Linked DNA regions of Mus musculus. The protein of the gene in region 2 interacts with the protein of the main gene of each other region in a biochemical or structural test. Links are inferred from orthologs where the notes say so. Each region holds a gene or a part of one and is shown on either strand. Other genes may lie near its edges. The genes, in order: Ube2v1, Stub1, Bag1, Irf1, Hsf1, Insr and Cyp3a13.

Region 1 (3,500 bases), on a different chromosome or scaffold from region 2:
TCACACTCACCCACATTTACTCACTCTCACATGCTTTCTCACCCACACTCACTCTCACCCACATTCACTCACACACTCACTCCCACATGCTCACTCACTCTCACACGCTCGCTCGATAGCTCACTCACTTACACATACTCACTCACAGTGGCTGCCAGGCTTGGCACAGGTGCATCGCCCACTGAGCTACCCTGTGCTGGGCTACAGAGCATGAAGAGGAGGGCAGGCTTGTGGAGCACCAGCTTTCAACCCCGCCCTGCCTGTGGGAGCACATGCTCGCTCCCCAGACTCCTCCTGTAGGTACTACAAATACTAACCCAGCTGGACTACACACTTAAGAGCACTCTAAGCCAGGCAAGGAGACACACTGCCTCAGTGCTTCAGGGGTGGAATCTGAGGCCAGCTTGTGCTACATTATCAAACTATATCTCAAAAATCAAGGTTTGGGGAGCACACAGACTTAGCTGTTCTTGCAGAGGACCCAGTTGATGCCTAGCACCTGTCAGAAGATCACAGGTTCCTGCGAGCACAGCTCCAGGATACCAGCAGATGCAAACACAAACGGCCAACAGACATAGCCCAGTGGTAGAGCACCTGCCTGCCATGTCCACAGCCCTAGACCCCAGCTTTTGGGAGCCTGGGACAAGAGGATTCCAAGGTTTTGGCACCCAGGTCTGCAAGGCAGGATCTTCTTCTTAAGTCTCTGGACACAGGGTTTCCCTGTGCAGCCCTGGCTGTCCTGGAACTCTCTCTACAGACCAGGCTGGCTTCAAACTCATAGACATCTACTTTCCCCTGCCTCCTGAGTACTGGGATTAAAGGCATGTCCCATCCATGCCCAGCTTCCTCTTCTGTTTTTGAGACAGGAGCTGGATATGTAGCCCAGGCTACCCTCCAATCAATAGTGATCCTCCTGCCTCAACCTCCCAAGAGCTGGGATTAGGTCTGAGCAACCACTTTGTCTTAAACAAAAGACAGGCTGGTCTGCCTGGAGTGTATTTCAGAGGCATGGCGTGCTGCCTGGCAAGCAAGCATCTGTGAGGTCCTAAGGTAGATCCTCTCCATCGGGTTGCACTGCAAGCCCGTACAATAGACACGTGGAAAGTATCTGGTGTCTAGCAGCTCAGTGAGCCCCACTCCCCTTTAGAAAAGGGTATAAAGCCTAGCTCAGGACAATCTAAACAGTTTTTGTTACAGAAAGGGTCTTATGTAGTCCAAGATGCCTTGAGCTTGCAGTAATCCTCCTGCCTCACCTTCTGAGTTTATAAAGTGTGCTGTAGAAATCCTAGCCTGAACATTTAGGCAGAACATTTTCAACAGTATTTACAAGCTGTTTTAGATTTCTGTGTGTCCTTTTGCTTTGCTTGTGTGTGTGTGTGTGTGTGTGCTTCATGTGTGACAGTTGTGAGCCTTCACATGGGTGGGTGCTAGGAACGAACCTCAGTCCTCTGCAAGAATAACAAGTGCTATTAACCACCCAGCTGTCTTCAGCCCATCTGTCTCTTTTGAAACAGTGTCTCAAGGATACATACTGGCCCAAAATTCCCTGTGTGGCAAAGATCACTGAGAGTGACTGGTCGGTCCTTCTGCCTCTGCCACTGCATGCTGGGATGTGGGTAACTATGGCCATAGCAAGCTCTTGTTTAGTTCTCACAGAGCCTCTCAGCATCCAACAGAGCTGATGGCACAAGGTCCACAGCCTCTGTACCCCCTGACCCACACACAGGTGCTCTAAGGAGACCATCTCCCTCGAGGCTGGATCCTCTGAGGAAGGAGAGCATCTGCAAAGCCATCTACCTGTACGTCCTGAGACTCAGCACACTGCTGTGCAGGGAGGAGGAAATGGGGAATGTATATACATTAACTCTTGCACCGGCATCAGAGTTGCAAAGATGACTTAGGAAGCAGGAGTGAAGTGCAAGGCTGCTCAATGACCCTCAAAGGTGACCTTCAAATGTCTGAATGCTAATGAGCGGGAGGTAGGTGTCTGCCCTCTTAGTTCCACTGTGCCTTGCTGTTGAAAAGGAAGGAAGCTGTCACTATAGGCACAGCACACTCAGGCTCATCTCCAGAAGTGTCCCTTTTAGGGTCTTTCCCTCTTCCTGTATTCTCTCCTGTACCTAGTCGTAAACTCCCTAGCACTTCAGTGCTGACTAATGAATACTCAACTTGTCAGCAGTGTGTCAGTGACCAGTGGGCAGGGAGGAGAGAGAACAGGCTTGGCAAACAGACCCAGTTCTGTGACCCTGGGCAGGTGACTTCACCCTGGGTCAGCTTCCCCACCTGTGACCTGGAATGTGGTTACGCAGGAGGATGAGACAACGACTTTGTGGGCACTGGGTGACAATTCTTGGAGGGCTAACCATGTACCCTCAAACACACAGTGGCTAGGACCTCACTAAGCAGAGTTCTTGTAGGCTTGCTTGCCCCTCTTCTTTGGCCCTGGGTTTAAATACCTCTGGACCCAGCAGAGCTGATGGCAGGACTTGAACCTGCCCTGAGTGACAGGCAGAACACAAAGGCACAGCAAAGCTGGGATGGTAGCTGTCCAAGTGCTTGCTTTGTCTTGAACTCAGCTGAGGGACGGCAGCTCAAAGACCACAGTCTACACTGTCATGTAAATCCACACTACTGGCTACACAGGATTTGATTACCAAAGAGGATTAAAGCGCATCAGAGGGGCTCAAATGTATAAATTGAAATGGGTCAGAGAAAAAACAGCACACTTGAGCAAACACCTCTGGTGAGTGTCTGCCAACTGCTTTAAGGAAAGGCACAGTGAGCTTAACTCGATGACAGTGACAGCTGGAGCTTGGTGCTTACTCGTGGAGGTCCAATTATCATGCCTGTCCATCTTGTAAGTGTCATGTCCTCGTCGTCCTCCAGACCCCAGCTAACTGTGCCGTCGCCTACTCCTTTCTGTCCTTCTTCCAGCTCTTCCAACAGTCGGAAATTTCGAGGGACTTTTACTCCTAAAACAAACGGAAAGAAATTCAAGGTTCCAGCAAATCCAGGTGTACGGCTAAGATAGCACAGCGAGGAGCTGCTCATCACCAGTGTGTGCTGCGGACGCTGTGTACACAGCTGGCAATGGCGCCTCACACGCACCGAGCCATGGGGAGCCAGAGGGGTGCTCACCCACCCCAGCCCCTCCAGTGCCCCACCCCGTTTAGCTGTTGCTCCCTTTGCTCTGAGCACTGGCTGAGAGGAATGCCAACCGCAGCCTGGGACACGGCACTTCCTTTCACGCAATCGTGGTATGACACATTTTGGAGGCTGCAGAGACTTAGGGATGCTCCTGGCTGGGACGGCCTTAGCGACACCAGCATTGTATCTCATGAAATGCTGTCCCCACAAGTAGCTATCAGGCAGGAGCGCGGAGGAGGCTTTTTCACTCCGTAAGCCTTGGCCCTTCTGGTTTATTTTTTAGCCACAAAGCCCATGAGGGCAGCCCAGACACCGCCACAACCACACCAGGCGCCTGAGCCACCTCAATGTCA
Region 2 (4,036 bases):
CACAGGAGCTGGATCTGGGGTACCCTTCCACTGGCATGGGCCTGGTTTCTCAGAGGTTATCTATGGTCGGAAGGTCAGTACAGTGTTATGTGTGTGTTATGTGTGTGTGTAAATCTGGTGTCTATAGTCCATTGCACACATAGTGACCTTACACTCCTGCCTCCAGCGCTGGTTCCTCTACCCTCCTGAGAAGACACCTGAGTTCCACCCTAACAAGACCACATTGGCCTGGCTGCTGGAAATATACCCATCTCTAGCCCTGTCAGCACGGCCTCTAGAATGTACCATCCAGGCTGGTGAAGTCAGTAGCTGGTAGGTGGGGGTTGGGCTAACTCAAAAAGCCATGAATCAAAATTTTTTTTTTCTTTTCTCCCAGGTACTGTATTTTCCTGATCGGTGGTGGCATGCCACACTCAATCTGGACACCAGTGTCTTCATTTCTACCTTCCTTGGCTAGCCAGACAGGCAACTGGCAAGCCCACTGCACCAGCACATGCCAATGTAGTGCTCACAGACTTTATTACAGGACAGTGGCAGCAGCAGCAACCTCAGCCCACCCTCACCCACTCTCCAGCCCAGAAGGGGGACAAGGGAGGCTCATGGTCCAGCAAGGGGTATGCTGAGAAGGGGAGCAGTTCAGAACCCATCAGCAGGGCCGATGGGGGCAGGCCCAGGGACACAAACTATACAGGGACTGGAGCTTCCGTCTCCAGATCCTCCTGGGCCAGGGTGCCAGGCAGGACATGGGGCCTCAATAGTCCTCTACCCAGCCGTTCTCAGAGATGAAAGCGTCAATGACTTCCTTCATGGCCAAGTTGGGGATGAGCTGTTCCTGGGTCAGAGGGCTCCGGGTCACAGGGTCAAAGTGGCCCACACGCTGCAACAGAGTCAAGAGTGTTCAATGGCCTGAGTATACCGATCCGGGTACCAAGGCTCTCCATGGCCCGGTCTCCATGGGCCCTCCTTACCTGCAGGTGCTCCTCAATGTCCTTGCGGTCATAGGTGATACCACTGGGTGTAATGCAGGGTTCCCGCATCAGCTCAAAGCTAATCTTGCCACACAAGTAGTCAGGGATATCTCGCTTCTATAGCACAAGGGGAAAATGTCTAGAACTGGAGGGGGCTGTGGGGGTCACCATACCAGCAGCAGCCGATGAGCTTCCGGGGGTCCTCACCTTTCTTTTCTCGTCCACCTGAGAGAAGAGCTCATCCATATCTGCCATGTATTTATCCTGCAGAGTTGAGTGCCATGTGTGGGCAACTCCTGTCTCCACACAGACACACACACTCTGTCCACCAGGGCACTCATGTCATGCATGGGCCAACAGATCCACCAAAGGCTGGGGCACTTTTCATGCCACACACAAACACACACACAATGACCCACATGTGGACTAGGGGCACCCTCACGTGCTTGGCCTCAATGCAGGCCTGCTGGGCCCGGATGTGGCCATCATCTTCATGACCCTCGTGGTTCCGCTGACACTCCTCCAGTTCCCTGAGGGTTAACCAGAAGCTAGTTGGTGATGGCCCTGACCAGGAAATCACAGAGCCCGCCCCATCTCAGGCCTCTTTCCTCCTGGGCTTCCCATGTACCGGTTGTTGTCCTTCAATAAAAACACTTGTGCTGGTGACTCAGTGTCTGCTGGGGGAGGGACCCACCTCTCTCGCTCAGCAGCAATGAGCCTGGTGAGATATGAATGCAGCTCACTCTCCTGGTGGATGCGCCGTTCCTCGATACTGTTCCAGCGCTTCTTCTTAGCAATGCGAAGGGCACTAGGAATATCATCCCCAAAGTTGAGTCGCTGCTCCTTGGCCAAACTATAGGCTAGGGGAGTGGACACTTTTGGTTACACTTGTCAACAATCCTGGTCCCCCAAGGTGCCCTCAACCTTGCATCTTGTCAGCCCACCTCGCTGCAGATTGGCAATGGCCTCATCATAACTCTCCATCTCCAGCTGGCACTGCCCCAGGAAGAAGTGCGCCTTCACAGACTGCCCGTCCAGCTCCAGGGCTCGCCGGCAGTCAGCAAGTGCCTGTTCAGGCTGCTGCATCTTCAGATAGCACAGGGCCCGGTTAGTGTAGTACACTGCCACAAGTGGGTTCCGAGTCTGGGGACCAAGACCAGGCGTCAAAGAGTGTGGGCTCAGTTGATCCCCTCTCATTTAGCAAGCTGAAAGCCAATGATCTGGTCAATGCTCCAGCTTTGGGGGCCCATGGCTGGAATAGAGGAACTGGAGATTTCCGAATTATCAAGAGCTCTGGATTCTGGCCATGCTTTCTTGCCTCCAACTGCTTTTGAGAGAAATCCCACAACCCCTCTACAAGCTCTGGGCTTGGAAATCTCAAGGGGCAAGAGCTCCTGGTGTCATCCTTAGTCTTACTTAATCAAGCATCCCGCCCGCCAGTTCCCAGTCAAATCAGCCCTAGACTCGGGAACAGCAATCCGGGCACCAGGGGAGCGAGCGAGCCATCGAGTCCAGGCTGCCAGAAACCCTGTCCGGGATCACAAAACTGGGAGGCACATCGGGCCCCGCCCCCGCCCCTCCCGCACTCACGATGGCGCGGCCGTAGCAGGCCGCCGCCTCCGGGTACTTGCGGCCCACGAAGAGCCGGTTTCCCTGCTCCTTGAGCTCTTGCGCACTCGGGCTCTTATCAGGGCTGCCGCCGCCACCAGTGCCCAGCCGCGCGCCGCCCTCCTTTTCCTCCTTGCCCTTCATGGCGCCGCGCGGCACGGCTTGGGCTCCGCGCCCGGCCACCTAGATCTCGCAGCCCGCGCAGCGATCAGCTCCGCCCGGTCGGCGATCCGCCACCGGAACTTCCGGTGTGGGGCGGAGCTGGCATGGGGACACGTGAGCAAAGGCGGAGCCTCGTGGATTGAGCCAGTTCCCTTAGCTCTGAGAAGCTTCCGCCGCGCTCTACAGGCCCCGCCCTACAGTAACCGAGACCTACCCTGCTCAGACCAAGGCTCCGCCCATCGGCGCTCAAGCCCCGCCCTCCGGCCCCAAGCTGGGCGAACGTGGCAGCGGTCATTGAGAAGTGGCCTTCCGAGGGCCGGTCACTAGGCCCGGGTCCTAGCGCACCACCAGGGCACACACGGGCTCACGCGACAGCCTGGGAACGTCTGGACCGCCGGTAGGAAGGCGGAATTGAGGGTAGAAGAGAGGCCCGCAGATCAGACCGCTCTCGAGGGGCTTCCTCGGGAATCGGGAGGAGCTGCCTGCGGCCATTAATGGCTGAGAAACAAGCACGTGACACGCTGACACCGAAGGACCTTCTGCGGTTGCTATAGAAGTAGCTGCGGGTGCACGGCTGGACTCTTGCCCTTCTCGCGGTCATGGGGAGGAGCTTCTTCAAGGGCGGAGCCGGCTGGTTTCCTTGGAGAGCGCCTGCACCAAGACCCTTTGACCCCATGGTCTGTCGTTGAGGCATTTCTAGCCGCTGCTGCATCAGCTGTTGGCCGCTAACACCCCCAACCCCGGACTTGGAGAAGCAGAACTCGGCTTTCTGCTGATCTGGGCGCCGCAGTCAAACTTCGCTGCGTGGTTTCTGCCACTGCCTCGAGTGAGTAGGTAGCATCTTTGCCCAAGTTGGGTGGGGGCTCTAGGAGCTCAAAAAAAGCTATCCCCAGAACCTCCTTGTCACTCTTTGCAGTGGTCCTGGAGGCAGAGGTTTCTGGGGTTGCAGCTTTCATATACGAAGAGGCGGTGGCTACAGTTCCTAGCTTGCTAACCCTCCAGTACACACTCAAGCACTACTTGCTGTTTCTAGCCCAGGTGCAAGAGTTCACTGCCTTTCTGAGCGGGGCTGAGCGGGGCCTGAGAGGTCATCCAGGGCCCCATCATGGTTCTGGTGGTTAGTAACTTGACCCCAGAACCCTTGTGGACCTCACTAGTGAGTGTCTTAGAGTTGTAGACTCTTCGTCTTGTGCAAACTTGGGGGGCAGATGTATGCCCAGACCTGCTGCCTGACCTTCACCCTGACTGGGCCTCCCACAAGGACCTGCCAAGAATTACAGGACCCAGGCCAAGTGAAC
Region 3 (3,500 bases), on a different chromosome or scaffold from region 2:
CTAGGATGCTCGCTTGGCCTTCCTTCTCCCTGGGCTGGGCTTTATGGATAGGAATCCTGTTGTCTAACCCTTTGACTTGCTTTCCAAGAAGCACAAGAGGTTGGCTCAGTTGTTTTAGGTGAGCAATTACTGACCTCGTTTTATTCTTTATGTTAGAGCAATCCAGAAGAAGAGGTTGAGTTAAAGAAGCTGAAAGATTTGGAGGTATCTGCAGAGAAGATAGCTAACCACCTGCAAGAATTGAATAAAGAGCTTTCTGGCATCCAGCAGGTGACTTCTCTATTCTGTGGATAGAGTGGTATGGTATTGTTGCCTGGTTGGCTTTTTAAAAAATAATTTATTTCATTTTTAAATTATATATTAATTATGTGTGAGTCTGCCTGGGTCTGTGTTGGAGTAGGTGGATGTGAGTGCTGGTGGCCAGGAAGACACCCCCCACACCCCCCAGAGCTGGGGTGATGTGAGGTGGTGAGCCTCTAGATGCTGGGAGCAGAACGCAGGTCGGCTAGTAGAACAGTACACCTTCTTAATCTCCGAGCCATCTCTCCAGTCCTGTTTTGTGTTGTAATTATAAAATTAGTTTGTGATGCTTACACAAAAGTTTTATATGTGCGTATAGATAGATTCAAGCCGAGGCCTTTCACGTCCTAAGCTCAGCTCTGCTCTCACTGTGCTGCTTTTGTTGTTGTTGTTGTTTTGTTTGTTTGTTCGTTTTTTTGGTTTTTGTTTGTTTGGTTTTTGTTTTTTTGTTTTTTTGGTTTTTCAAGACAGGGTTTCTCTGTGTAGCCCTGGCTGTCCTGGAACTCACTCTGTAGACCAGGCTGGCCTTGAACTCAGAAATCCGCCTGCCTCTGCCTCCCAAGTGCTGGGATTAAAGGCGTGCACCACCACGCCCGGCTCTTACTGTGCTTCTTGTGTGCAGGTCTGTATGTCTGACCCAGAGATGCTATTACTCTGAAAAGTATTTTTCACCTTATTTAGTTAAAATATAATATGCTATACATTTGGTAAATTGTTCTTTTACTGGCTAAAAATTAACATTTTCCTGTGTTGTTGAAAATGGTCATATTTTCCTGCATGTGAATATATCATGGTTTACCTACCTTAGTCTCTGTTCTCTGTTTTACCTGATTTTTTTCTCTTACTGTGCTGCTGCTTTGAGTGCCCTTAGACAGGAGTCCTTTTTGAGTAGTTGTGATTGTCTTTGATAGAACTGAGTTTGGATTTCTGAGTAATGTTCGAACTTCTTGCTGTGTGTTTACAAATATGCCTTTGTCACTCTGGTTTGATAGCCATCTTCAGAAATTCCTGCTTTTCAACTCAGCCACCCGCTAACTGATCACTAGGCAAAGAAATGCAAATGAACAGCAGGGTGGTTTAATGACAGTAAGTGCTACCTCAACCAGGTGTGGGCTTGTACACCGTAATCACAGCTTTTCTCAGAGCAAGAGACGGGATCAGTTTAAGGGCAGCATTGACTATGCAGTGAGTTAGAGATCCTGTCTCAAAACCAAAGCCACAATAATACCGCCATCCTCTGTTATCTTGTGTATCTATCTGTGCCATGAGTTATGTGAGCATCTACACATCTGCCGGTCAGCATCCCATAATCTGAGATCAGTGAGACGTGGCAAGTTTAAGGAACTTGCTTTAAGATCTTAAGCCAAAGTTGGGAATGTAGCTTAGCTGATAAAGTGCTTGCCACACAGCATCAGGACCTGGGTTCAGATTCCCAGCATCCATGCAGAAACTGGGCATGATGGCACACTGTATAATCCCAGTGTGGGGGAGGCAAAGAGAAGAGGGCTGGATCCCAGCTGCTCACTGCCCAAACAGTCTAGCCAAATTGGGCAAGCTCCAGATTCAGTAAAAGACCCTGTCTCAAAAAATAAGGCAGAGTCTTAGTCAGTGAAGAGGCGCCGTGACCACAGCAACTCTTAAAAGAAGAAAGCGTTTATTTGTGGCTGGCTTAAAGTTCAGAGGTTTAATTAGTCCATTATCATCATGGCAGGAAGCATGGTGGCATGCAGGCAGACTTTGTGCTGGAGAGGTAGCTGAGAATTCTTCATTTCAATCCACAGGCAACACTTAGAGAGAGACACTGGGCCTGGCTTGGGCTTTTAAAACCCCAAAGCCCACCCCCAGTGACACATTTCCTCCCACAAGGCCACACCTCCTAATCCTTGTCAAGTAGCACTACTCCCTAGTGACCAAGCATACAAATATATGGGGGCCATTTTTATTCAAACCACCACACAGTGTTTGGCAAAGACACCTCACGCCAACCCTTGATGCACTGTGCCCAGCTTTTCAGTCTGTTCTCTTAATGTCTGCTTCTTATGTGCATGTATGCACCTGTGTTGAAGGCTGCACCATAGTTCCTCAGGGGGCATTCATGCCTCAGTGGACTGTGAGAGAAAGAACAGTCCACACCCTGGTAGTATTCTTAGTCTGGCCAAGGCAAGCATTTCTAATTTTCCCAGGGGATGAAGGTCTGAGATCTAGCCGGGCTTCTTAGATCAGTGGTGAACTCTGGGTTGCTTCACCAGTCTATTGGCATGGTTTTCCATGAGTCTCAAACACTTGCAATAGTGCCTTATTCCTTCTCAGGGTTTTCTGGCTAAGGAATTGCAAGCGGAGGCTCTCTGCAAACTTGATAGGAAAGTAAAAGCAACAATTGAGCAATTCATGAAGATCTTGGAGGAGATTGACACAATGGTAAGTAAACATTCATATAGAGGTACTAGCCTTTTTATTTACTTTTAACGTTTTATTTATTTATATATACAGCGTTCTGCCTGCATGTATGCCTGCAGGCCAGAAGAGAGCACCAGACCCCATTACAGATGGCTGTGAGCCACTATGTGGTTGCTGGGAATTGAACTTAGGACCTCTGGAAGAGCGATCAGTGCTCTTAACCACTGAGCCACCTCTCTAACCCCAGAGGTACTTCTCTTTAGTGGCAGTATTTCAGTCTATTTCGTTCTGTCAGTATTACACTTGTGTTACCTGGGAAAATCTGTTGCTCGGGGATGTCAAACATCTACTGTTATGGGCCAGGTACTGTGTGTCTTAGTTAGCTTTAACTGTCATCTTAACACAGCCTAGAGGCACCTAAGAAATACGTCTCAGCTGAGGGATTACCCAGATGAGCGTGACCTATAGGCACACTGGGGCAAGATGGGTTTGGTAATTGATAGAGTCCATTATGAGCTGCATCTGCCCCAGGCAGGTGGTCCTGGGCTGTATAAGAAAGCCAGCTTGGAGCCAGGGAAATGGTTCAGTGGTTACAAGTACCAGTTGCTCTTCCAGAGAACTTGGATTTGATTCCCAGAATCTACAGTACCTTGCAACCCTCTCTAAGCCGAGTTCCAGGGGATCCAGTGTCCTCTTCAGGCCTCCTCAAGTCCCAGGCAGGCGTGTGGTATAGATATACATGCAGGCAAAACACCCATAAAATAAATAAGCCTTCCGCCGGGTGTGGTGGCACACGCCTTTAA
Region 4 (2,406 bases), on a different chromosome or scaffold from region 2:
TCTTTGAGTTTGAGGCCAGCCTGGTCTACACAGTGAGTTCCAGGAAAGCCACGGATACACTGTGGGGCGCTGTCTCAAAAACAAACAAACAACAAAACCAAAAACCCAGCCGGAGAGATGGCTCAGCAGTGAAGAGCACACTGGCTGCTCTCCCTGAGGATCCAAATTCAATTTTCAGCACCACATGGCAGCTTACAGCTGTCTGTGACTCAATTTCCAGAGGATCTGACACCCTTACATAGACATACATTCAGGCACATGAAGTGAAAAATTAAAATAAAAACTCCCTTCCGTGGCAAATGAGTATAAATGAGCATGTCCCTGTGGCATGACGCCCCCTCCTCCTGCCATCTTCTTCTTGACCATAACTGGAAAGATTCGTGATCGACGCATGTCAATGCTCAGCTGAAGCCCAGGCAGAAAGCCAGCAAAAGACTCCCATCAGGAGGTTTCCTTAAAAAGTAAGACCAATTCTGATTTCTAAATAAAAAGCCACACGCTGTAAACAACTTAAATTTTTATAAAAAGACAAATATACATATTTACACAGGTCCACCACATGACCAAACACCATTTAGCAGTTAGGTGGCGTTTCTAATAGATAGTCAAGAGTCACGCCAAGGCGCTCACAACCCCCCTTTTCCCTGGGCCTGCTGAGGACTGCCAAGGCCTGAGGAGACAGCAGGCACCAGGCAAGGCACTATATAAATAAATGCAAAGGCCTAGACTGGGGAGAAATGTTAGTGTACACCTCTGATCAGAAATGTGGCAAAGTCCACAGAGAAAGTGCCATTTTTTTTTCCTGAGCCCCACAGCTGGAGCAGGTAGTGAGGCAGATTCCCTCTGAGGCTAAGGGAGCCAACCTTCACAGGACCCCATTTTTTTTCCCTTCACATTTCACTGGCTTGGGAACCATCCCAGGGCTCGGTTGGGAAGGGCAGCAGTTCTTTGGGAATAGGACTCATTTAGTGCAATTGTCTCCTAGTACAGAGCCAGCTCTAGGGCCAGTGCTATGCTCTTCTGTGGGCGCTGGTCTATTCCCCTCAGGGCCAGCCCAGCGATAAGACCCTCTCTATGCAACAAGGCTTTTAAAAAGCTAGAAGATGACTCCTGTCCATGGCCTCTGCCTTACACCTCAGACCCCCCAATCCATCTTCCTAGGAGTCAGGGCCAGCTTCACCTCACAAGAAAACTCAGACTCTGCCTCCTAAGCCCTGAGAGCCCACTGACCCAAGGAGGATGGTCCCCTGTTTGCAGTGGGACTATGCTTTGCCATGTGTCAAGGGGCCCACAGGAGTCTAGCTTTTTTTGTATCACAGCCACCATGATGCCAAGGCCTAACTCACTCAGGAGGGCAAGAACGGGTCAGAGACCCAAACTATGGTGCACAAGGAATGGCCTGAATAGAGGGCGGCAGCCTCACAGAGTTGCCCAGCAGGCTGTCCATCCACATGATGGAGTCCATATTCTTCATCTCCGTGAAGACATGTTGTATGCCTATCCCAATGTCCCCTAGAAGATGACCAAAAAAGAAAAAGGCTGTATAAGTAAGGAAGGGTATGTGACTCTCACCCAGCTGTCCACAGCCCACAGCAACTCCATCTCTTCTATAGACCAGCCCCAGCACAGGGGCAGCTAGGAATTCTCACTTCATGCTGTACCTGTTGGCCTGGTTTAAAAGGCATGCTGGGATGCTTTAATCTGGCTCTGGCTCTGCCTCCAACAGCTTCCCCCTTCTCCCAGAACCCAGAAGGACCTAGAAGCCTCTTACCTCGAGGGCTGTCAATCTCTGGTTCCTCTTTGCAGCTGAAGTCTCCATAGACAGAAGAGAGCTGGGTCCCTGGCTCATTGAGCAAGTATCCCTTGCCATCGATGTGTGTCGGCTGCCACTCAGACTGTTCAAAGAGCTGGGGAGAGAGCATGAAGCCATCAGCTGCCTGCCAGTGCACTCACCCTGTGGCCCTTCCCTTGGGTGACCTAACCCTTCCCAAGCAGGATCATAACCTTGACTGTTTATGGGTAACAATATGCAAAACTGTCTAGGGAGGGGAGCACAAAGCGACCTGGGCCCTGCTGGCCCCCGCCCCTCCTGTGTGTCGCTGTCCCCCTCTGGCACAGAACCTGCATGAGTCCCCTCTACTGGGGGAGGACACAGGAACTGGCAGGGCAGCTTAAAGCCAAGGTTAGCATAACAAGCCAGAAAAGCCAGAGACAAGCAACTAGGCACACATTTCAAAAGTTCTGTGCTCATGGGCCAGACTCGGGATAAAACTACCTTAAAAACATTTATGGTCACTTTGAAAACTGCAGCTGAAAAAGTAAACCACAAAAGAACTTGCTAAGAAAAAAACCAGAGGGTTTCTTATTTTGTTTTTTTTCCTCCTAAAGTCATCCTAGTACAGATCC
Region 5 (3,500 bases), on a different chromosome or scaffold from region 2:
AGTGGACAGTGTAGACATTCCCAGAGCCTCACATCTTTCTCTTCACCCCCAGGATCCGGTTCGACTGCACCAGTGAGATCAGGAACTGAATGAGCTGTGGGGCAGAAAGGATACTGTCACCCTGGCCCAGTCATGGAGGGGACCCACCTACCACCAGCCCTGCCCACCTTGTTGACAACTTTTTGCTGCTGGGCATGCTTCTGCCGAAGGCTGGCCACCTCCCGCCACAGGGCCTCGTTCTCGCTGCAACACATTGCTGGGTCAATTGGGCCACATTAGAAGAGCCAGAGAATCAGGCTGTTGATGGACAGGGCTGGACCAGATGAGGGCTCACTGCACAACTGATTCCCTAACTCCACTCTACTTACAGGGCAGGATTCAAACGTCAGCCAGGGCTGAGGGAGGGCATGGATAGAATCTGATGGTACCTTAGGATCCTAGCTGCAATGGGGCACTTGTTACATACTGGCTAGGCACACAGGACAGGTCTCTGGGAAAGATCCTAAACTACAGATTACCCTCAGTTTTGGGGTAGAAGGCAGCTGTGAACTGTGCTGAGTGAGTGATAAAGGGCGAGTTGAGTCATTGTGACTAGAGAACAGTAGAGAGGTCTGGCCCAAGGACTGTTGTGGTCAGCTCCTGTCAGGCCTGGTTTTTAGGGAGGCACCTGGAAATGGGCTTTGTGTGCTCAAATCCTGAAAATGTGAATTCCAGCAGGGGAGTGAGAAGTGGGTGCAGTAGGAGACCTCCAACCCCACTCTGTGTCTGGAGATGTACAAGACAGGGTTTCCATAGAAACAATGAAGGCAGGCTGGGAGGGGGAAGGAGGCTTGAATGGCTCTGCAGGATCGGGTAGGAGACCCAAAGCAACCTGGCCACCCTCCTGAGCCTTGGGACCTACTGCTTCATGGCCAGGAGCTTGGAGTCCATACACTCCTGTTTCCCCTTCATCAGCTGCACATCTGTCAACAGCCGGGTGACACTGTCCTGGCGTATTTTTATGTCCTCACTCTTCAGGGTGGACACCTAAGGGGTGGGGCATACAAGAGTCGAAAGTGGCTCTGGAGTGTGGTAGGCTCCTGTGCTTCACCTAGGCATCCAGGGAATGAGGAGGGCCTGGGAAACACTGGGAAGGGGGAGGGGGTCAGAGACAGAGAGCACAGGCTATGCTTTTAGGCTAGTCCTGCAGCACCACCTAGATACTGCTCCCAGCCCATAGCCTGCAGGAATATTTAGGGCAGGGAGGGGCTGTACTCAGGGCTGGTGACTCACGCTGGTCACTTTCCTCTTGATGTTCTCAAGGAGCTGTTCCTGTCCACGCAAGAAACAAGGATGCTGGAACTCGGTGTCATCTCTCTCAGGCTTGACCAGGCCACCCTGCTCAATGTGGACTACTTTTCGGAAGCCATCTGTGTATATGGGGGTGGGGGAAGTTCTGTTTGAGGGCCAGGGACCAGACCTTCAACAGCCTAGCCATGGCCTAGGGCAGGCAAGGGGCCTCCTAGAAAACTGTACGAGAGTCTGACTGGTGTCCATTTACCATACATAGCAAGTTATTCTTGGTTGGAAAAGACTTTGTCCCCGAACAGCTTCCCTTTTTGTAAATGGAAGTGTGGCCATTAGGTTAGGGCCTCATATCCTACACTCTTCCCTGGAGAATTCAGGCTCAAACTCATGAGGACCCTTCTTCAGCCAACCCAGGCCTCCATCTCTTAGAAATAGGCTGGGGTCTATTTCTCCACACCCAGTGAAGCAAGCATAGCATCCTGAAAGAGGTACTTACACATGTTGAGCTGCCGCACGAAGCTAGCCATGTTGTTGTGCTTGAAGTACTTGGGCAGCACCTCCTTGGCAAACTGGCCCTGGTCAAACACGTGGAAGCTGTTCCCACTCTGTCAGGAGACACATGGGCAGGTCATATATAGCAGACACCATCATAGTTTCACTGTGGCCTGATGTCTCTCTCTCCATGTGTGGTGGATTTGCACACTCTCCCTCCATAGTAGTAGCAGGAGGTGAGTGTAGCTGTAGGACTCTATGGCTGGTATCCGGGCCATGGAACCTAGGTCTGAGCAGTGAGGCCCATGTAACCAGAGACAGGATCTTAACTTCCTGACAGTTTTTAGTTGCTAGGTTTAGACTCATAAATCACCCACAGCATTCTGGTCATCTCTAGGGACTGACTAGAATTTAGTTTTAATCAGCAATTTTTCTTTTTTTTTATTTCTTTTATTTAGCAACTTTTTTTTAATTAGGTATTTTCTTCATTTACATTTCAAATGCTATCCTAAAAGTCCCCCATACCCTCCCCCACCCCCCTACCACTCACTCCCACTTCTTGGCCCTGGTGTTCCCCTGTACTGAGGCATATAAAGTTTGCACGACCAATGGGCTTCTCTTTCCACTGATGGCCGACTAGGCCATCTTCTGATTCATATGCAGCTAGAGACACGAGGGGGGGGGGTACTGGTTAGTTCATAACGTTGTTCCACCTATAGGATTGCAGATCCCTTCAGCTCCTTGGGTACTTTCTCTAGCTCCTCCACTGGGGGCCCTGTGTTCCATCCAATAGCTGACTGTGAGCATCCACTTCTGTGTTTGCCAGGCCCCGGCATAGCCTCACAAGAGACAGCTATATCAAGGTCCTTTCAGCAAAATCTTGCTGGCGTGTGCAATGGTGTCAGCATTTGGAGGCTGATTATGGGATGGATCCCTGGGTGTGTCAGTCTGTAGATGGTCCATCCTTTCGTCTCAGCTCCAGCAATTTTTTCTTTAAGAATAGCTGGAGACATAGTTCCAAGTGCTTACTATTCTTATAGAGAACCTGGGTTTGTTTCCCAGCACTCATATGTCAACCCACAACTGCTAGTAATTCCAAGTTTTACGTGACCTGATGTCCTTTTTTGTCCTTCATGGCCTCTGGCATACATGTGGCACTCACATATATGCTCAAGGACACACACACACACAGCTCCAAATTGTGGCAGTCAAAACAGGAATGAAGTTGTTGATGCTCTGGAAGACAGTCCTGATCAGAAATACCACCTTATTCTTTTTCAAACTCAGATGAAAACTGTTAAATACTGGGGCCGTGCTTCTGTGCTGGTGCTTTCCTGAGCACAGTCAGAACCACTAGGAGGGGCTGAAGGGCCATGGCAACTCAGAGGCCTTTGATACTGGAGTGGGGAGGTCCTACAGTGGGTAGGGACAGTATTCTCGTGGGTGTGCAAGACCAATCAGCTGAGGAACCAGTCTCTTTGCTGGGGTGGGAGAACTATAATACAGACAGAATCAACCAAAAGGATCCTAAGGTATTGGATTAGCACCATGGCTTTTTTCAACACGCAGAGCAGTGAAACAGGCTTAAACAGAAACAGTGGAGCAAGTGGACACAGGAGGAAGAGGATCCTAAGTAGCAGGGAAAGTGCAGGTAGGAAGTGTGGTATCAGTGAGAGAAAGAGGCTCTGCTCTTTACACTAATTGTTTAGTCCCCATTCTTC
Region 6 (4,136 bases), on a different chromosome or scaffold from region 2:
GTGTGTGGTGTGGTGTGCTAGGCCAAAGGTTGACCTTAAGTGTCTTTCTCTATTGCTTGCCACTTTACTTTTATTTTTACCTTTTTTTTTACAGATATTGTCAAACCCATTGCACAGACCAGCAGCCACAGTCCGGGTCTGAGTGAACATGTGAAGCAAAGGATAGAGGACTCTGTACTGCACATATTCCTAAGGCACCGACAGGGTTAGCGCCTCATGATGTGGTTGAGCAGGGCTGCTAGTGAATGGCTTTCTTAGACATACAGCCACCTACTGGTATGTGTGTTGAAAATGGAGTTATGTCTGCTCTGATCCTATATGAAGTTTCTAACGTGTTTCTAGAAGCCTTGTTATGTTCTTCTAGAGTCATTTCCTTATTGATTTCTGCTGGAATTCAGTGCTGGGTGGAGGGGGCGCAGGCCAGGGAATACAGGCTGCCTGCATTGTGGACACGTGGCTGTGGCCTGGAAGCTGGTGCCTCCAAGCTGCTGGGCGGGAGCTCACTGGGGAGGGAACTTGTTGGGCGCCTACTAGCTCCTCGAGAGAGCCAGGGTTGGGAGAATCTCGTAAGACATTGGTAGCATAGGCTGTAAAGAAAAACAGAATCAAAGGTAAAGAATTAAAGTGAATTCCCCACGGGAGTCAAAAAAATAGTAAAAAGGAGTAAAGAAAGACAAAATGTGCTTGGTTGAATCTGGCATCTAGGGGCATATTGGGGTGTTTATGTCCTGGGGTATCTGGCGGCATTTCCAGACTTTAAAATTGTTATTTCGGGGTAATTTGGGGTGTCTAGATCTGGCGGAGATCTAGAGTGTGCTCCAGACCTTTAAATTGGAACCTCGGTGTTACTTGTGTTTGCTGCAGTCAGGAGGGGACCTGGGGGCGTCCCTAGGCTTTTAAACTGGAACCTCAGGCCTGTTTAGTGGTTTTCGAGTCAGGCGGGGATCTGGGGACCCCTAGGTTTTAAAATCGGAACTTTGGGACTCTTTGGGGGCGTTCGTGTCAGGTGCGGATATGGGCAGCTCCGGACGTTTGACAGGTGAGTCTTAGAGTTGTTTGGGTGTTTATGTTACACTGGTATCTGAGAACGCTTACAAGCTTTTAAATCGTAATCTTTCTAAGCCAGCAGTTCGGGGTGTTGGGATTGGAAGAATCTGAAGTGAGCCTCGGGTCTCTGAAGTTGCGGGTTTTACGGGGCAAGGGGGCAAAGGGGCCGAGGAGGCGAGGAGGCGAGGAGGCGTGGCGTTGCCAGCTCTGGCCACGCCTCCCCGAGCTCTGCTGGCTTTCTCCCCCTCCCCCCCCAGCGGGCCTCACTGGAGCGCACAGTCCCTTCCCTGTCTTAATCCGCGCCACCTTTTCCCTTGGCCCGCGCGGGCCCAGCTGACGGGCTGCGTTGTTTACGGGCTGGAGTCGAGCCCTAGCTCCCGCCGCCACCACCAGCCCAGGTGCCCTCCAGTGCGCGCGTCCCTCTGTCTCAGACTCCACACAACGCGACCCACCCAGAGCTGCACGGAGGGCAGAAGCAGGAGACCCGGACAGGAGACGCACCGCGGTGAGCTCTGGACTCTGGGATTGCGGGCACGGGACCGGGCCTGGGTGACCTGCGGGCCGCGCCACGGTGTTGCTTGCGGCCGAGGCCTCTGTGCTCTTCCCGGGACTGTCCCCAGGGCCCTCTAGGCTGGAGAGCTGCGGCCTGTGAGCCACGGGCGTGGAAGAGAAGGACGTGCGGCCCCGAGCGCCTCTCCAGAGACCTTCTCACGGAGTATGTCCCCAGTAGGCCGGCGTGGCGTGCTCTGATCGCCGGGGTCCCAGCACTCCTACTGCTATGGGCTTCGGGAGAGGATGTGAGACGACGGCTGTGCCATTGCTGGTGGCCGTGGCCGCGTTGCTGGTGGGCACAGCCGGCCACCTGTACCCTGGAGAGGGTAAGTCTGGGACAAGAGGCGATCACAGTATGTCGGGGACACTTCTCCCACCGCCCCAGCCAATCTAGAACCCTCACCCTAAGGAGTGAGGGTCGGGGACACCCCTCTCCACCGCCACAGCCAACCTAGAGAATTCTCCCTTTGGGCTGAGTAATGGGGACAACCCTTCCCATTGCTCCATACAACTTAGAGCCCCCCAGGCCCCACCAAGGAGTCAGGGTTACAGACACCCATTTCACCACTCCAGCAATATAGTCCTTTCACGAGAGTTGTGGACATTTCTCGTTCTTCTTCCATCAACCTAGAGCCCCCTCTCCACGGACTGAAGGTTGAAGACTCCCGTAGCGTCCTTGTGTCTATGAAGAGTCCCCTCCCTATAGTGATCATCTTTACACTGGGGAAGGGGAAGAGTGGGTTTGGTGGCCCTGGCCCTGCGTGAAACCCCGGCTGACCTTGGCCTTTGCTCACTGGGCTTGTGGCTCTGTACCCCGCGTGTGTCCATCTCGGGTCTGAGGAACCTTGCCCCAGTGCCCGCCCAGGCTTCGGGTGTCTGTCCCCAGTGCACCTCTCAACTGTGTCTGTTCTTTTCTCTAACCCCAAATCTGTCCTCTGAGGCTCTTTGAGGTTGCTTTAAGTAAGTATGGTTACTGGGTTGCAACAGATTCAGACATCTGAGCAGTTTAAACCCAAAGCCAGGGGTATCCTCTTCGACGGAGGACACTTGTTGGAGAATCGACCCCTTGTGGCTGCTATGTTTATAATTCTCTACTTCCAGATGTCTAGAGGCAAAGTCTGCATACCTTTGGCCCCACAGCAATCATAGTAACAGTAGGGGTAGTTTTCAGGATGGTTATAATTAGAATGATTATGAGTCTCCAGGCTGGTTAGCGCTAGAACCTCCCAGTGTTCCCTGGAGGCCAACATAGTTACATACCCATTTCAGAGAGGGCTAAAATGAGGTTCAGTTAGCCCATTTGTTCAGAGGCTGGTCTTATAGTTCTGTGCTTGGTTATGGCCAAGGCAGGAGGATAGCGAGTTGTTTGAAGCAAGCCCAGCTATTGAGTGAGTTTTGAGGCTAGTTAGACACTGTTTCAAAAAACATGCAATGACAAATGTCTTTTGAGTTACTGGTTCAGCTTTCTCTGAAAATGGAAATTAATTACAATAGGGAAGGGGTCAAGGAGAGAAGGAACTGCCACGCTTTTGTGAATGAGGGAGATGTGTGTGTTGGGAGGAGGGTGCAGGATTATGGAACAGGTTGGGTTGATCTTGTGGAGTGGGTCTGCTAAACTGGTAATGTCTCTGAGGCCCCCAGGATCCGATATACAGAAGGTACTCAATGAGGAATGGCCATTGGTTTGGTTTGTGCCCGAGTGCACGTGTTCGTGCGTGTGCATGTGTGTTCGCGTGTGCACTCCTGTGCCTGTGTGTTTGTAGAGGACCTAGGTTGACATCCAGTGTTTGTCTCTGTCACTTTCAGCCTTGTGTTTTGAGTCAGGGTCTCTCAATGAACCTTGAGTTTGCTGATTTGGCCGCACTGCCTAGCCTGTGAGTGCCAGTTCCCCCTCTCCCTTCACCTCTTTTTATCACTAGAGTTATAGATAGATGTATGCTGAAGTGCTGGCTTTTAGGTGGGTGTGGAGAGATCTGAACTCAGGTTTTCATGCTCGGGCAGCAAGTGCTTTGACTTACTGAGCCATCCATCTCAGTAAGTAAAAACGGAGCCAGTCCATGGTTTGGGTTCTTATTAGAAAAATCCAAGATTGTTAACATCTACATTGCTCTCTGAGGCCTTAAGGAAGTAGGGTTATGTTGTATATGCACCTGTGCACTTGGGCGCATAGTGTTGTACCTTGAGCTCTGCTTTTACATTTTTTGGTAATTGATTGTTTGTCCATGTCTGGACTTCCTGAGCCCAGGAGACAGAGCTTCTGGGGGCTTTTAAATATACATGCAGTGTTCACAAGGATAGGGCCTGGTGTTTGTTCCTCACCGATGTTAGAACCTGAGCAGTGCTGGACACATAGTAGGTGCATATAAACATTGTTCCCTAATGGCACACAGAAAGCCAAGACATTGGGGTTTGTGCAGTAAATATACTGGGTGTGTGGCCAGAGTGTAGCCCTCCCTGTGCACACACAAAATCCCTGGGTTTCATCCCTAGACTTACATAAACCATGTGTGGCGTTGTATGCCTGTCAGCAAGCACTC
Region 7 (3,500 bases), on a different chromosome or scaffold from region 2:
TGAGAGAGCCTTAACAAAAGGTAACAGACACCTGAGGTTTTCTTCTGAGGTTTACCTCTGAATACTTATGTGCATTCATATATACAAGTATGTAAATATGCATGAATATATACACACAATAATAATGATGATAACTTTAACCAACCCCCCCCCCCAAAAAAAAAGGTTTTTGTAAGATGGAGGCAATACAATATTCAGAAGATAAGCTGGTTTCATATGACAACACTTTTTAGCATGTGCCACTAAAAGAAAAGAGAAAAACACAATAGAGACAGAAAGACTGGATACTACCGACCAAAGTGCAAATGAGTGAAATAAAAAGAATGAAGGAAATCAATGAAAACAAAGATGGTTCTATGAAAATATCTTCAGGGTTAGCAAAGTGTTAGCTGGGATTGTTCTAGAAATAGTGATGACTCAGATTATTAGCATGCATAGTGAAGTGGGAGGGGAATAATGTTATGAAAAATATAAGGACATATAAAGAATTCTATTAATAAATGGGGGATAGAACAACAGCCTCAATTATGTAACTTAGCTAGAATGTACAGATTCCTAGAAGTTCACAAACCATAGAAGCTGACTCAAAAAGAAATGCATACCATGCGTAAAAGACCTGTGGCATAAGAGGTTATATGTTGCACAGAAAATACACAGAGACCCATAGCATCTCTCACAGTCTAGAGTAAATGGAGAACTATGATAAAATGAGATTATCTTATAAATGTGTTCCTGGATCATATTGAATCTTTACCTCCTCCTACCTTGCCTTATGTACAGAATTAAAACTATCCCTGGTTTAAAAAACATGCTGTCCACAAGGAAAGCCTAAGACCATAAGGTTTCACTGCGGAATTTAACCAAATGCTTAAAGAAAAGCATATACCATTTCTTCCCAAACACTTCCAAAATTTAGACATATATAAAAGTATCTCTAAAATTCTCTGTAATACAAGTAGTGCCCCTAATATTAAGATCAGATAGAAATATCACATGAAAACTACAAATAAACAACACTTGTAAATATGTAAAAAGAAAATTTTCAATACAATATTAGTGACTATAAAAGAGCTATATTACTCTAACTAGATAAGATTCGCCTCAAGGATGCTCTTCTATACAACTGAACATACCAATGCAAATTAAAAATGAGCAGAACAGATGAACAATTAAATCTTTGAGAAAAGCCAACACCCACAGTCCCTTCAGTCCTCTATATTAGACATGACCATACAACTCAGCACTTCTTCTCAAGTATACACCAAAAACAACTTGAAACTTGTTCAGACACAAATGTGTGTACAAGTATTCATAGCAGCAGCGCTGTTCCCGAGAGCCAAAAGGTCAAACATTCTAAATAACCAGCAGTCGTGAGTAAATAGGACATGTCATGTCCTTACAATGGGATGAGATTCTGCCATAGAAAATAATTAAGCACTAAGACTCACTTCAAGGTGCATGAACTTTTAAAGCATACTAATTTGGATGCCAGACACAAAGAGGGTGATAGATTGCACAATTTTACTCTTATAAAGTGTTCAGAATAGGCAAGTCTACACAGCTAGAAAGTAGGCTTACTTGCTGCTTATGAATGAGGGAGGTAAGGTCATTAAAAGTTCAGAGTTTCTAGAGTGACAAAGATGTTCCACAGCTAGCAGTGACAGCTGGAAATACTTTAAATATACTGAAAACCAAATCCTGGCCTGTTTCAGTGGACTACTCACAGCATATGTGGATTATCTTTCACTACACTGTTGCTTAAAAAGACAAAAAGAATGAAACATTAGCTTACGTACTCACTGAGAGGAACAGTGGATCAAAGATATCAAATTTTAAGAGCTTCTTGATTTTCTCCACAAAAGGATCCTGTGGGTTGTTGAGGGAATCAATATTCACTCCAAATGAGGTGGCTGTGATCACATCCATGCTGTAGGCCCCAAAGATGCTGAAGAGAAACGGAATATAACTATTAGATATCTTCTTGGTCTAGCTAAGATAGACAGAGTATGAAGCAGTAGTAAGTTCACATGTCCAGCCAAGATAGCCAGAAGGTCATACAGAAACCCCGCCTACCATATCCTTGCTTCTGTCACACTCACTTATGAGAAGCTTGACAGGTGACAGTGTTGTGTCTATCTTTGTGATGTGGGACTACATGGGTACTATCTATGATTGTGAGTTTTAATTATCAAAATGACATAATCTACAGTCACTGGGGAAGAGAATTGTTTCTACCAGCTGGACAGGCCTGTGAGGGTCTGATTTGATTGTGTTAATTGATGTGGAAAGACACAATCCTCCACTCTGGGTGGCAGCATTCCCTCGGTTTGGTTCTGCTCTGTGTAAGTGTGGGAAGGATAAGCTAAATACCATGCATGCTCATTTTACATTGTTCTTCCTTGTGGATGCCAATTCTCTCCCATTCCGAGAGCTCTAACTCAGGTGGCAAGTACCGTAACCCACAAAACTATCTTGACAGCCCAAAGCAATAGTTTCTATTTCACTGATAGTCCCAAAAAAGTCTATGATGTAATATAAATGGTTTGATGTTTTAACTTTCCTGGTATACACACAGCATTCTAATAAGTGCCAAGTACTTTCTCCACTCTTTTCTATTGAATCCACACCAACAACTTTGTTCAGATAATGTTCCTTCTTTCTAAACTATCTTTCTTCTAGAATTTTAATAATTATAATGGGATAGACAAGTTAATAATGACTCCTGAATACAGAGGTGAGACTTATTCTCTTCCAGGCACTCTACTTTCTCATAAGAGACGCTCCTTTCCAGAGTGACCCATTAAAGTCCAAATGCTGTGACAGGGATGTCTCCAGTTTCCTTTGGTCTCAACTCCAGTCATAGTCTGAGCTCTTCTAATCAGTGGTAACACCATACAACCCACTTATGACTAGTCCTGGAGTAACTTCAATAAATGAAAGTTCCCTAACCCTAACCCTAACCCTGTTTTTTTGTTTTTTGTTTTTGTTTGTTTTTTAAACTGGGAACTTCAACTCCCCAGTAGGTAATTATGGAGTCTCCTAGCACTACTGTTATGATTTGAATGTGCATGTCCCACCAAAGGATTGTGTGTTTGAATACTTAGTCCCAAGCTAGTGCCACAGTCTGGGAAAAGTGTGGCAACTTTTGGAGGTACAGACTCATTGGAAGCAAGTCACTTTGGGCAGGTCTTCATATAATCTGGCCATACTTCCTTCCTTCTGATTGTAGATGCATTGTGATCAGGTAGCCTCCTGTTCCTGCCACAAAGTCTTCCTGCCAGGAGACTGTATCTCCCTCGGAACCACAGCCAAAATGAAACATTTCTTCCTTCAGTTGCTTTTGTTAGAATATTTTGTCACAGCAACAGGAAAGTAACTAATACAACAACCCAGCGCTCAACACCTGTGCTAGTACTTACTCTTTCATGCTGGTGGGCTTTCCTTCTCCTAATCCCTGCCTCATGTTTCTCACCAACACATCTGTAAACTGGTTAATGATG

What was found.
Region 1: the proteins of Stub1 (region 2) and Ube2v1 form a complex in vitro, tested with the Homo sapiens proteins (4 studies listed by BioGRID). The link is inferred for Mus musculus from reciprocal best matches to the Homo sapiens genes STUB1 and UBE2V1.
Region 3: of the proteins of Stub1 (region 2) and Bag1, one has a biochemical effect on the other in vitro, tested with the Homo sapiens proteins (3 studies listed by BioGRID, with this or other methods). The link is inferred for Mus musculus from reciprocal best matches to the Homo sapiens genes STUB1 and BAG1.
Region 4: of the proteins of Stub1 (region 2) and Irf1, one has a biochemical effect on the other in vitro, tested with the Homo sapiens proteins (4 studies listed by BioGRID, with this or other methods). The link is inferred for Mus musculus from reciprocal best matches to the Homo sapiens genes STUB1 and IRF1.
Region 5: the proteins of Stub1 (region 2) and Hsf1 form a complex in vitro, tested with the Homo sapiens proteins (2 studies listed by BioGRID, with this or other methods). The link is inferred for Mus musculus from reciprocal best matches to the Homo sapiens genes STUB1 and HSF1.
Region 6: the proteins of Stub1 (region 2) and Insr form a complex in vitro, tested with the Homo sapiens proteins (2 studies listed by BioGRID, with this or other methods). The link is inferred for Mus musculus from reciprocal best matches to the Homo sapiens genes STUB1 and INSR.
Region 7: of the proteins of Stub1 (region 2) and Cyp3a13, one has a biochemical effect on the other in vitro, tested with the Homo sapiens proteins (3 studies listed by BioGRID). The link is inferred for Mus musculus from reciprocal best matches to the Homo sapiens genes STUB1 and CYP3A4.

Annotation. Positions count from the first base shown.
Region 1 is NC_000068.7:167,615,006-167,618,505, forward strand, and holds part of Ube2v1 (ubiquitin-conjugating enzyme E2 variant 1), read right to left. Parts: intron 2,973-3,500; coding exon 2,824-2,972; intron 1-2,823. UniProt on the Homo sapiens protein: Has no ubiquitin ligase activity on its own. The UBE2V1-UBE2N heterodimer catalyzes the synthesis of non-canonical poly-ubiquitin chains that are linked through Lys-63.
Region 2 is NC_000083.6:25,830,134-25,834,169, forward strand, and holds Stub1 (STIP1 homology and U box-containing protein 1), read right to left. Parts: upstream 2,787-4,036; 5' UTR 2,721-2,786; coding exon 2,559-2,720; intron 2,112-2,558; coding exon 1,913-2,111; intron 1,829-1,912; coding exon 1,663-1,828; exon of another isoform or gene 1,499-1,662; coding exon 1,411-1,498; exon of another isoform or gene 1,233-1,410; coding exon 1,176-1,232; exon of another isoform or gene 1,086-1,175; coding exon 969-1,085; exon of another isoform or gene 878-968; coding exon 752-877; 3' UTR 501-751; downstream 1-500. Other genes in the region: Jmjd8 (jmjC domain-containing protein 8 precursor), read left to right, coding at 6-73, 167-301, 377-457. UniProt on the Homo sapiens protein: E3 ubiquitin-protein ligase which targets misfolded chaperone substrates towards proteasomal degradation.
Region 3 is NC_000070.6:40,938,295-40,941,794, reverse strand, and holds part of Bag1 (BAG family molecular chaperone regulator 1), read left to right. Parts: intron 1-156; coding exon 157-270; intron 271-2,610; coding exon 2,611-2,718; intron 2,719-3,500. UniProt on the Homo sapiens protein: Co-chaperone for HSP70 and HSC70 chaperone proteins. Acts as a nucleotide-exchange factor (NEF) promoting the release of ADP from the HSP70 and HSC70 proteins thereby triggering client/substrate protein release.
Region 4 is NC_000077.6:53,775,419-53,777,824, reverse strand, and holds the end of Irf1 (interferon regulatory factor 1), read right to left. Parts: intron 1,908-2,406; coding exon 1,772-1,907; intron 1,513-1,771; coding exon 1,379-1,512; 3' UTR 501-1,378; downstream 1-500. UniProt on the Homo sapiens protein: Transcriptional regulator which displays a remarkable functional diversity in the regulation of cellular responses.
Region 5 is NC_000081.6:76,494,362-76,497,861, reverse strand, and holds part of Hsf1 (heat shock factor protein 1), read right to left. Parts: intron 1,893-3,500; coding exon 1,784-1,892; intron 1,410-1,783; coding exon 1,273-1,409; intron 1,027-1,272; coding exon 902-1,026; intron 244-901; coding exon 168-243; intron 95-167; coding exon 33-94; exon of another isoform or gene 1-32. UniProt on the Homo sapiens protein: Functions as a stress-inducible and DNA-binding transcription factor that plays a central role in the transcriptional activation of the heat shock response (HSR), leading to the expression of a large class of molecular chaperones, heat shock proteins (HSPs), that protect cells from cellular insult damage.
Region 6 is NC_000074.6:3,276,818-3,280,953, reverse strand, and holds the start of Insr (insulin receptor isoform A preproprotein), read left to right. Parts: upstream 1-1,336; 5' UTR 1,337-1,825; coding exon 1,826-1,925; intron 1,926-4,136. UniProt on the Homo sapiens protein: Receptor tyrosine kinase which mediates the pleiotropic actions of insulin.
Region 7 is NC_000071.6:137,908,120-137,911,619, forward strand, and holds part of Cyp3a13 (cytochrome P450 3A13), read right to left. Parts: coding exon 3,420-3,500; intron 1,946-3,419; coding exon 1,797-1,945; intron 1-1,796.